Struthio camelus: one gene and its partners. The protein of the gene in region 2 purifies or fractionates together with the protein of the main gene of each other region. This does not show direct contact. Links are inferred from orthologs where the notes say so. Each region holds a gene or a part of one and is shown on either strand. Other genes may lie near its edges. The genes, in order: RBL2, E2F1 and SIRT1.

Region 1 (3,742 bases), on a different chromosome or scaffold from region 2:
AAGTAAATAAAATTTAAAAGTACAATTTTAGGAAATAGTTTACTTCCTAAACTACTGATAAAATGGCAGCGTTGCAAACAAGCATGACAATAACTATAGTTCGACGTACTCAAAGCCAGTCCTTCATCCAAACAAGACCGTGCTCAGACAACTCGAAAAATATTTCGGTATCTGTTGATGATCGTGTTAACTATATGTATTTACAGTTCTTTATTGGTTTTTCCTCACACAAGTGCAATCAACTCCAGTATTCAGATTACTATAAAATCAAGTTTTTCTCATTTTTCTGAATAACTCATCTGCTTAAATAAAAACAAACTCCGATCTCTTCAACGCTAAGAATACCTCTAAAAGTATGAAAAAAAAAAGCGAGTAAAACATTTTTATATGTGTTTCAATAAATTTCATTTCATAAATTCAACTTTCATTAATTTTTGCACTGTTTTTTGTACACCTACTTTTTCAATGTTGTTAGTCTTTTACAGCCCATATTCAGCTCCCTGCATTTCTGATTTGAAAAAGCTTTTTTAAAGAAACTCCTTTGCTTTGTTTAAATATATCCAACAGAAAACGAGAATGGGAGAGAAAGTGCATAACTAATGCTCATTTATTTGCCAGTCCATGTAATTGTTATAAAACCACCATACTGCTGATACATAAAGTCAATTATTTCATGAAGTTTTTCTTCATGACTTTACAGAAATAAACATTTGATAAAAATGTGTTTATCAGATTCTGATATCACTTTCTCTTCGTAAAGTAAGAACGCATGAAAAGTGAAGTCTTCTTCCACAAAACCGAAAACGTGTGAATGTCTGCACAGTCAATTAAAAAATGCTTTCTGATGTTAGTGTATTAGACCTTGTTCTAAGCAGAACACGCATGCAGACGTTAGGCTTTTGAACAGGCAAGCTCACCTGCTGCACCTTCTTCAAAACCAGAAGTTGGTTTCTGCCTCCCTTTGAGAGTGGGAGGGCAATCTCTGAATTTGAAAAAATCAGTGTTTTTGCTAGGTACTAATGCCCAAACGAAGCTATCCCACATCTGTGGCAATGAGCTATAGCACAAACATTCTGATTGTATAAATTCTACATATAAAAGCAGGAAACAAGAATGATGTTCAGTCTTTCCTCTCAATTTCTAAATTTTTCAAGTCGATACACAGCGATTAAGATTTTAAAAATTCCAAAAACCAGCAAAAAAAAAAAGTTACCTTTGTTCTGAACAGCGCAAAATTCGGGTTAAGGACACATAATTCCCCTCAACTGTCCCTCTGCTCACAGTTGGAATTGCTTTTCTGCAAGCCACATACAAGGCACACGCTAGCCAATGCAGATCGTTTCCCTGTGAAATGAAACATCAGGCATCGAAAAGACTCGATCAAAACGAAAAACACACTCTTCAGCTATGCACCCAGCACGAAGAAAAAGAATAAAACTGATTACACTCTCCGCTAACAATGTTCAAGCAACAGCAGAGTGATGCATTACCTCAAAGCTCTATTTAACGGTACTGCTAGACAGGACCATCTAAGAAGCCGGAACGATAAGAAAAGCAGATGCTAACACTGAATTACGTCAAAACAGAAACGTATCAACTACAAGTTACGTTAATAAGTTTCACAGCGAGCCGAAGTTTAACAGCATGCTTTCTTTTCAGCACTGCTCGTCTCCTGCGCTGCCTCGGCGTTACAATCGCAGCAGTTGCTCACTATCAAAACCTTCTTCCCTGGACGCAACAGGGGAATAGGAAAAGACAGTTTCCGTTTTTCTGTTATGCGGCTTAATAACTACTCGATGCGATTCCTAAAGACGGAAATTAATTCCAACCGTAACTATGCCTCTTTGACTAAACTGCAACGTTTAAAGGGGAGGCGAACGACAGGAAGGGGGCAGAGAAGGCGGCGACGGCTGCGGTTTCCCGGGCCGCCTGCTACCGCGGGCACAAGCGTGCGCAGACCCCCCGAGAGGCCGCCCCTTCCGAGCTTCTCAGCAGCCGACGATCAAGAGCAGCGGGGCAGAGGTGCGCTGCGGCCGGGCCGCTTCCTCCCTGGGGCAGGTGCGCGCAGCGCCCGGCACCGCAGGGCAAACGGCCGCCAAGGCGAGCGAAACCTGCCCTGCCTCGGCCGCAGGACCCCCGCGCCCCGGGGCCCTTGGCGGTGCTGAGCAGCTCCGGGACTGCAGTTAGTACCAGCCGAGGTGCTAACGCTAACCCCTCCGCTTGCTCGCGCGAGAGTTACGTAACTCCAGCACGGCTCGCCATCAGCGTTTGCTTTTCCGTTAATAAAACAACCCCCCCTCCCCACACCGTGTCCCGGCGCGGCCCCGCGCCGGCTCCCAGCCGCTGTCCGGCGCTCGCGAGCCCCGGGTTCGTTTTCCAACGGCCGCGGGGGGAGGGGCGCCGCGAGGGCCGCCGCCCCCTCACCTCCAGCGTGTAGTTGCGCTTCATGCTCTGGTAGCTGAGCCAGGCCTCGGAGCGGGCGCGCTCGTCCATGTTGAGGCTGCTGCAGAGCTCCTCGTAGCGCTGCCGCGTGTCGCCCTCCTCGGCCGGCGGGGACGGGGCGGCGGCGGCGGCGGGGTGGGGGGGGCCGCCCCCGCCCGCCGCCTCGGCCTCGTCCTCCTCCTCGCCCGGCATCCCCCGCCCCGGCGCTAGGGGGCAGCGCCGCCCCGCCCCGCCGCGCCGCCCACTGCGCCTGCGCCGCCGCCCCGCCGGCTGGCGACGCGCGTTCGAATCCAAACGCCCCGGCGCTGGGCCCCGCTCCCGCCCTCCGCCGCGCCTCGCCCTCCCATTGGACGGCTTGCGGGCGCCCAACCTATCCGCGCTCCCGGTGCGCGCAGGCGCGCCCCGGCGACGCCACAGACTTCCCCTCCCGCAATGCCGCGCGGCAGCCCCCTCCCGCCCTCCTCCTCCTCCCGCTCCCAGCATGCAGCGGGGAAGCACCGTGCTCTTCGTGACGCCACCGCGTCGGAGCGCGCGAGGTCACTTCCGGCGGCGGCGGCGGCTGCGGAGGGACAAGGTTAGGCGGCGGCGGAAGAGGGCGGGGGAGGGAGCATGGCGGAGGCGCTCCGCTGCGGCCCCGGGCTCCGCACGACGGCTGCTTCACCGCCAACAGCAGCGGGAGCCTCGGGGGGAAACGGCCGCGGGATTGGCGTAACCCTGAAGCGTTCGCCCGGGCGGGGACGCACGGTTGCAGTCCGCTCTGAAAGCACCAGGTGGCGCCAGAAAACAGGGGCTAGGGCGAGGCCTGGAGGGGCAGCGCCGGCTGGTGGTCCGTTAGGGCCTATGCCAACCGCCATTTACACTGTTCTTCTAAAGAAGCAACTATAATTTGTCACAGTATTCTGCGTTCTATTGGGATACATACTAATCTACTCTTTCAAAATCACTTTTTTTCATCTAAATAATAAAATCCCAAAATATTAAAAGATAAGCAAAATCTAGGTTAGGGATAAGGTGACGATGCTGTGGTTATACTGGCATACCTCCTCCCGTTTTTAAGCAACCGCGTTTTGTAAGTGATGTAAGATTTCTAAATGAGACCATTCAAGTAAACTTTTAAAATAAGGCCACTTTTAATTTAATGGCCTATTGAAATTTTACATAAGAAACATTTTCAGATGTTTTAGAAAGGCACTGAAATCTTTTTTCATCCCACAGGACTTCTGTTTACTGGTTCCTCCAGTGAGAAACCGCAGTCTCCTTACAAAACACAAGCAATGAATGGGTAGCAAATCTTGAAGCC
Region 2 (3,742 bases):
TCTCGCTTTGCCCCGGGCCGTCGGCAGGCTCTCTGCTATGTACTGGTGATCCGTCTCCAAGTTCAGCTTCCTCTTCACCTGCAAGAGACGGGTGGCTCCTCAGAGGACCGGACGGCACGGACATCGCCGTACCCCAGCACGTCCACGCTTCTGTGCGACGGACGCACGGCTCTGATGCGGAGCCCCAGGCACCCGCGCGGCTCAAACACAGGGGTCTGCTCCCAGCCCGGCCCCAGCAGCCGAGCGCCCTCGACAGGGAGGCGTTGGTGGCCCCACCTGGGAACCTCTGCAAGGGGGGACACCAGGGATTCGGCAGTGCGGAGCCTCCTGCGGCCGCAGCCTCGCACACCTCCCAGCTGGCCAGCCCAAGCGCATCCCTACGGATGGGCTCTCGGCACGCGCAGCCTCCTGCCTGCCCGCGGGCCACGGCGGAGGCTGTGCCGGCTGCAGGCACCCCGGGCAGGTGACAGCACCCGACCCCGGTGTCCCTGGGGTGCAGAGCCGGGGTGCTGCCTGCGCCCATCGCCGCTCCCTGGGCGGGCACAGTGTAAGGCCACGCAGACACCCCCAGAGCGTTTCTGAGCCCCAGCACAGATGGGATTAACTGGCAGGAGCCGGGAAAGCGCAGGGCACCCGATCCTGCTGCCAGCAGAGCAGCACCGGGCGCCCACCGCCACGCAGCCCGTGAGCCCAGGGGGCTGCAAAAGCACCGGCCACAGCGCTCTGCTCAGCCTCCTGCAACAAAAGCTTTGGGTGACCCGTCAGAGGGGGCTGGCCGGGCCCATCGCCCCCGTCTGCCACGGCGGGGACCGAGGCGCCCCACGGCAGCAGCCAGGCAAACGGCGCGTCTGCGAGGGACCGTGCGGCAGCGGGGAACGCGCACCCGCGGCACCGAGCGCGGCACGGCAACCGGCCCGGGCAGAGGGGTGCCCGATGCCGGGGCGCTCCCGCCCTGCGCGCGTCCAGGGGGAGCCAAGGAGCGGGAGCCGCCGGCCAGCTCGCAGGCGCAGCCGGGGGCCGGCCGCGGAGGGCTCCTGCGCCAGGGAGCGCTGCGAAGCGAGCGCGTCCCGGGCGCGCAGCAGATGCGCCGCACAGGAGGGGAGGCAGGAACCCGGCCCAGCTCGGAGGCGCGCGGCTTCCGGAGCAGGCAGCGCCCAGCGGGGCCGCGGCTCCGCCGGCCTGACGCAACCCGGGGAGCGGGGCCCTGCTTGGCAGGTGTGCTGCGTGGCAGGGCCTGGCCCGCGCGCCCCACGGGGCGCCGCTCGGCACGGCCCGGCCCGGCGTGGTGCGGTGCACAAAGACATTGCATAGCATGGCACACGTAACATGGTGCAGCACGGCACGATATAGCACAGCACTGTGCAACACGGCACAACATAGCACGGCACGATATAGCACGGCATTGTGCTGCACGGCACGACATAGCACGGCACAATATTCCACGGCACTGTGCTGCACGGCACGACATAGTGCTGCACGGCACGATATAGCACGGCACTGTGCAGCACGGCACAACATAGCACGGCACAATATAGCACAGCACTGTGCTGCACGGCACGACATAGCACGGCACAATATAGCACAGCACTGTGCTGCACGGCACGACATAGTGCTGCACGGCACGATATAGCACGGCATTGTGCAGCACAGCACAACATAGCACGGCACGATATAGCACGGCACTGTGCTGCACGGCACGATATACCACGGCACTGTGCTGCACGGCACGATATACCACGGCACTGTGCTGCACGGCACGATATACCACGGCACGATATAGCACGGCATTGTGCTGCATGGCACGACATAGTGCTGCATGGCACGACATAGCACGGCATTGTGCTGCACGGCACAGCATAGCCCGGCACGACATAGCCCGGCACGACATAGCCCGGCACGACATAGCCCGGCTCGGCGCTGGGCCGGTCTAGAGGCCCCGCCACAGCCGCGGGGGCCCGGGCTCGCCGTTCCCGGTCCGCGCCCCCCGCCCCGCCCCGTCCCGTCCCGTCCCGTCCCCGGCGGTTACCGGCGGGCGGCCCAGCGCGGGCCGGCGCGGCGCGGCGCCCGGGCGGGCGGGCTGCGGCGTGGCGAAGAGCAGGAGGTCGGCGTCGGGGCGGCCGCCGCCCGGGGGCTCCTCGGCCGCCGAGACGATGAGGAGGCGCGGGGAGGCGCCGCCCAGCAGCGCCGCCAGCCCCGCCGCGCCGCCCGCCGCCATGGCTCACATCGCCGGCGGCGCGGGGCTCGGCCCTCACGGCGGCGCGGCGGGCAGGGCGCGGGCGCGGGGGCGCGGCCGGCCGGCGGGGGCGCGGCCCATGCTCGGCGCGGCGCGGCGCGGCGCGGGCGCGGGCGCGGCGCGGCGGCCCCGGCGCGGGCTGGCCGCCGCCCGCGGGTATTGTTCGCCGCCGCCGCCGCTCCCGGCCCCGCACGCCTTTGCGCGCCAAATCCTTTTTGCCGCGAAAGCGGCGCGAGCCTCGCCGCCGCCCGCCCATTGGCTGCGCCCTCCGCCGGGCGCCGCAGCGGCGGCGGGCGGCGCCCCCCCATTGGCTGACGCCGCCGGATTGATAGGCGGCGCCGCCCGCCCCATTGGCCGCGGCCGGCGGCGCCGGACGCGCTGACAGCCGGCCAATCGGCGGCGCCGCGCCGAGGGAGGGGCCAATCAGGGGGTAGCTCGGGGACGCTGCGGCAGCGCCGCGTGGGTGAGGAGCGCTCGGCCGGCCCTTAAAGGGGACGTGCGCGGCGCTCCTGGGGCCTGTGTTCCCCGGCCCCTCTCTGCCCCACGGCCCCTCCCCCCCCCAGGCCCCACAGCCAGTGCCCCACGGCCCCTCTCTGCCCCACAGCCAGTGCCCCACGGCCCCTTCCCCATCCCAGGCCCCACAGCCAGTGCCCCACGGCCCCTTCCCCTCTCTGGGCCCCACAGCCTGGGCCCCACAGCCAGTGCCCCACGGCCCCTTCCCCTCTCTGGGCCCCACAGCCTGTACCCCACAGCCAGTGCCCCACAGCCAGTGCCCCACGGCCCCTTCCCCATCCCAGGCCCCACAGCTTGTACCCCTCAGCCCCACAGCCAGTGCTCCACGGCCCCTTCCCCATCCCAGGCCCCACAGCCAGTGCCCCACGGCCCCTCTCTGTCACACAGTCTGAGTCCCACAGCCCTTGCCCCACAGCCCCTCTGGTGCCCTGCAGCCAGTGCCCCCCAACCCCTTCCTCTCCATGCACCCCGCTGCCTGTGTTCCCCCCGGCCTCCTGTGCTCCCCCTGCGCGGGTCCCCGCTCTGCCGCGACCCACGGCGGCTCCCTCAGCCGGGGCCAGCCCTTTGCGGCCCAGGCCCGGGGCAGCTGGGTGGGTGCCCGGGTGCAGGGGGGCACCCGCCCCGGGGGGCAGGCGCGGGCGGTGCTCTCCCCGCCACGCTCGCCTCGGTGGTGCCTCCGTCGCGAGGCCGGGGGCACGTTGTCCTGCCTCCCTTTGCACCAGTGTCGCAAGGAGAACCCATCCGGGGAGTTGCTCCTGCCGGACCCCCTCGCGGCCCGCTGCCGGGCTCCCCCGCGGGCGCAGGACCGGCCAGGCCGGCTCCCCCACGGGGGTCACAGCACCGGTGCACAGCGTATTTGCAGCCTTTGCCCCACGCATGAGCGATGTCACTCACTGAATTGCTGTTTTGCAAAGCAGGTTTCAGCCAGCCTCTCCCCGCTCCGTGTCATCCCCTAGGATCTGGCGTGCGCCCGCATGTGCTTCTTTTTAAACTGTA
Region 3 (3,742 bases), on a different chromosome or scaffold from region 2:
ACTGCAGGATTTATTATATTAATACCGGCCTTCAGTGGCCTGGATGTTGGCCTTAGTGACTTTTCATTCTATAAAGTGCTGGGCACTACGGTTTTTTGTATTTTATTTAAAACAATTCCAAATGTCTGACAATTGTAATTCCTTTCTCCTACAATCTTCACTTCACACAGCTCTCATTCTGAGACTGAATACAGTTAAATTAATGCACCACCATTTACAGATCAGTCGTCAACTAGATTTTAAGAGCACAACACTAAAAAGACCCACAAATACGCAGTCAGATACAGCTGAGTTACACACATTTGTTGGGCTGCTATCTGTCAGCTGAGCTGCAATAGCTGACCACATTTGCTGTCATAACTGAAACAGGATAAAAGCCTGTACACACTGTACACACTTTTATCCTGTTACAGTTATGACAGAAAACGTGCTGTCTTCAACCATCTGCATGAAACTCAACTCACCCATTTTACCTTGCAGCAGGGTTTGGTTAAGAGCACCACAGAGCTAAGGCCGCTGGCTGAGCCTAAGCAAGCCAGAGTTAACTCCATCTAACTCGACTGTGCGTCTAGATTAGGGAGCCCAGAGAGGAAAGGGGTACTTGTTTCACAACACACGTTAAGCTCACTGACGGAACGGTTAGAGGGAAGCGTCAATGTCACCCTCAGCACCTTATCAGAATATTACCCACTAAGACTTTTGGTTTGTCCTTTCCATTTGTTAGAAAACAGGTACAGCAACTGTAGCTTAATTTGTTGAAAAATCCAAGATCATAACCAAATGAGGACAAGTTACAGTCATCCTCTCCAAAGCAAAGAATCTTTATAGCAGTTTTCAACCTTCAAAATAGTGTTTCAGCTAGGTTACTTCACTCTTAAATAAAGAGCACCACAGAACACTATTTTTTATTCAGAGACTGCGTTGTCACATTCTTCACCTTTTCCTCATTTGCATTAATACTTTATTCTGATTGGAATGGAAAAAGAGTAGAGGACAGAACTGCACTTTTATATTTGCTGTTTTGTTCTTCTGCACTTACTATTTCTTATTATTAATCCAGACACTTGCAGCAGTTTTTCATTCCATCTCATCATGCATTAGTACTGATGTGTGCTAATCACTTCTTCATAACTCTTTTCTTCATAATTGCAATTATGAAGAAAGAAAACAAGTGATTAGTACACATCAGTAAATGTGAAGTGTTAAGTTTTAGTAAAACTACCTCCTATGTCTACCATGTAAGGAATCAAAGCTACATTGTTAAAAGACTCAAATCACAGAAAGGTCACCCATTATCTTGTATTTATGAAATGCTGTGATAACCAGGCTAAAGTAACTGTTTAAATTGTAACACTCCCTGTGCAGTTATTTGATTCCTCAGAGGAATAAAGGCAATTCTTGCCAGAAGTAACTGATACAAAGCAGAACATGCCCAGGATTTGAGTAACTTGAGCAAGAAGGCTTCGTCCAAGGCGTTTACAAAGGAATCGTTAGTTCAACTCTCCTGCTGCTCCAATGAAGTTTTGGAGCAACGGGGCTGTCCACGCATGCCGTGCGGCCCCTGTTCCCTTCCGCACAGCTCCGCCACCAGCACAAGTTGTCTGCAGAGCTTCACTCAGCTTAAAGGAAAAATATCTTTAACTGCATGTAAAGGCCTTACTGGCAGAACGCAACGTCTTTTACTGTTTAAGAAGTCTCTCCCAAGTACCACCTTAAAAAAAAAAATTCAAGGTCCTTGCGTACAGATACTGCCCAAACAGCATGCCTGCAAAGCACATGTTTTTAGAGGCCGAGAGTTCAGTTTCGCGCTCCGGCCGCTGACATCGCAGACAGGGCTGTAACTAGAGTTTACTGCAAGAGCTGGTGGAGACAGCTGCTCCTGTCCCTTTCACAAACGCTTCTGAGAAGCACAAGCGCAAATACGTTATCACAGCAGCAATCGTGAGGAGGAAACGGGGCTCGGGATTTTTCATTTCCAATAACTCCTTACTGCCAAAAACACAGCTCCCAGACAACAAAAACAAGAAAGAAAGAGAAAGAAGGTGTCAGAGACGCGAGCGGAGCCGGCCTCCTGCCCCGAAGCCCGGCACGAGCGGCCAGAGGGGCGCGAGCAAACCGGCCCGAGGCCGGGCAGACAGAGGCGCCCGCCGGCTCCCGCCGGCGCTCAACGGCCGCGACTAACGGCACGAGAGAGCCGCGCCCCGCCCCGCCCCGCCCCGCGCCGCTGCTCACCGGGCTGCGGGGCCGGCGCCGCGGCCGCCCCGTTTGAACACTGCGCCCGCCTGCAGCCAATGGCCGCCGCCGCCGCGTCGTCGCCGGGCGCCGCCTCCGCCCCCTCCCCCCGGCCCCGCTGCCGCGGCTGCCGAGGCGGCTCCGCCCGGGCCAGGCCCCGCGGCCCGGCCCTATTGTCCGCGCCGCTCCAGCCTGCCGCCGCCGCCTCGCCGCCGCCGCCGCCGCCGTCCTCCTCGCTGCCGCCGCCGCCGCCGCGCTCGGCGGTCACGGCCGCCGCCGCCGCGCCGGGCAGCTCCGCCGTCACAGCGGCGGCGGGCGCCGGCCCCGCGCCGCGGTCCGGGTGCTGGGCGGCTGCCGCTCCCCGCCCGCCGCCGCCGTCTTCCGAGTCGAGGCGCTGGCGTTTGGGAGCGGGCTCGGCGCTCTCGGCCGCGCCGCCGGGGCCGCCGCCGCCGCGGGGCTGGAGGAGCGGAGCCTCCCCGTCCGCCATCTTGGAGTAGCAACCGCCGCCGCCCCCCCTTCTCCTCCTCCCTCCCTCCCGCCCGGCGCAGCGCGCAGCAGCGCCACCGCCCCCTCCCCCACCCCCAGGGAGCGATTTAAACGCGGCACGTGACCACGCCACCGCCCACGCGGGCACCCGCCCCGCCGCGGCCGCAACAACAACAAACCGGGTCACGTGACGGGGGTAGGCCGCGGCGGGGGGGGGGGGGGTGCGGCCAGCGGCACGTGACCCCCGTGCCGGCTGAGCCCTCGCGCACCCCCCCCCCCGCGACGTGCACACCCCTCGCGCCACGGCGGTTGCTCGTCACGTGGCCGCGCGGAGCCCCGCCCGCGAGGGGGCGGAGCGCCGCCGCTGAGGGGAGCGTAGCGGCCGCCGCTGAGGGGGAACGTAACGGTCGCTCCGGCCGGGCCCGGGGCTGTGTCCGGTGCCCGTGCGTTGCCCGAGCGAGGTCGGGAGAAGGGAGGCGCCGAGTTCTGCCTGAAGTTTGTTTCCCCTCCCCGAAGTCCGCCGCAGGAGCTGGCGCCTGTGGTGGGACAGTGCCCGGCAAATGGCGGTTCCGGGCTTCCGTCGTAGGTCTACCTGTTTCTCCCGTTAAGTATTTACAAAAGAAAAAAAGAGAGAGAGGAAAAAAGCCCTCGCTCTTCTTTACAATGATCTTTAGAACGAGGATATGAAATACGCAATGCGTCTTGCTGAAGGGGGGGGGTGGGGAAAGGTGTTTCCTGTCACTGACTTCATCCCTTCTGTTGGATTTCTCTGTAGCTGTCTTGGGGTGGTGGGATTAAACCTGCCCCCAAAAACTTGTAAGGATCTCTCTCTTGGTACATTTGCCTGTCAGGTAACTTTACTGAAAGGTCTGTAAATGCTTTTCTGTAAACGTGGAGCTGGCTGACCTGAGGATAAAAAGGGAGATACTTAATGGATTTCAGCCTTTGCTTGGGCAGTCAGCTTGTCTGCTGACTGCACTGAAGGATTTTTGCATCTGTTGGTTGAGCTTTTGGTAGGGATGCT

What was found.
Region 1: the proteins of E2F1 (region 2) and RBL2 purify together in Homo sapiens (affinity purification with western blotting; 3 studies listed by BioGRID and IntAct, with this or other methods). This does not show direct contact. The link is inferred for Struthio camelus from reciprocal best matches to the Homo sapiens genes E2F1 and RBL2.
Region 3: the proteins of E2F1 (region 2) and SIRT1 purify together in Homo sapiens (affinity purification with western blotting; 3 studies listed by BioGRID and IntAct, with this or other methods). This does not show direct contact. The link is inferred for Struthio camelus from reciprocal best matches to the Homo sapiens genes E2F1 and SIRT1.

What each region holds. Positions count from the first base shown.
Region 1 is NC_090951.1:18,707,244-18,710,985, reverse strand, and holds the start of RBL2 (retinoblastoma-like protein 2), read right to left. Parts: upstream 2,635-3,742; coding exon 2,425-2,634; intron 1,345-2,424; coding exon 1,214-1,344; intron 1-1,213. UniProt on the Homo sapiens protein: Key regulator of entry into cell division. Directly involved in heterochromatin formation by maintaining overall chromatin structure and, in particular, that of constitutive heterochromatin by stabilizing histone methylation.
Region 2 is NC_090959.1:2,871,030-2,874,771, forward strand, and holds the start of E2F1 (transcription factor E2F1), read right to left. Parts: upstream 2,216-3,742; coding exon 2,027-2,215; intron 79-2,026; coding exon 1-78. UniProt on the Homo sapiens protein: Transcription activator that binds DNA cooperatively with DP proteins through the E2 recognition site, 5'-TTTC[CG]CGC-3' found in the promoter region of a number of genes whose products are involved in cell cycle regulation or in DNA replication.
Region 3 is NC_090948.1:38,574,609-38,578,350, reverse strand, and holds the start of SIRT1 (NAD-dependent protein deacetylase sirtuin-1), read right to left. Parts: upstream 2,740-3,742; 5' UTR 2,720-2,739; coding exon 2,233-2,719; intron 1-2,232. UniProt on the Homo sapiens protein: NAD-dependent protein deacetylase that links transcriptional regulation directly to intracellular energetics and participates in the coordination of several separated cellular functions such as cell cycle, response to DNA damage, metabolism, apoptosis and autophagy.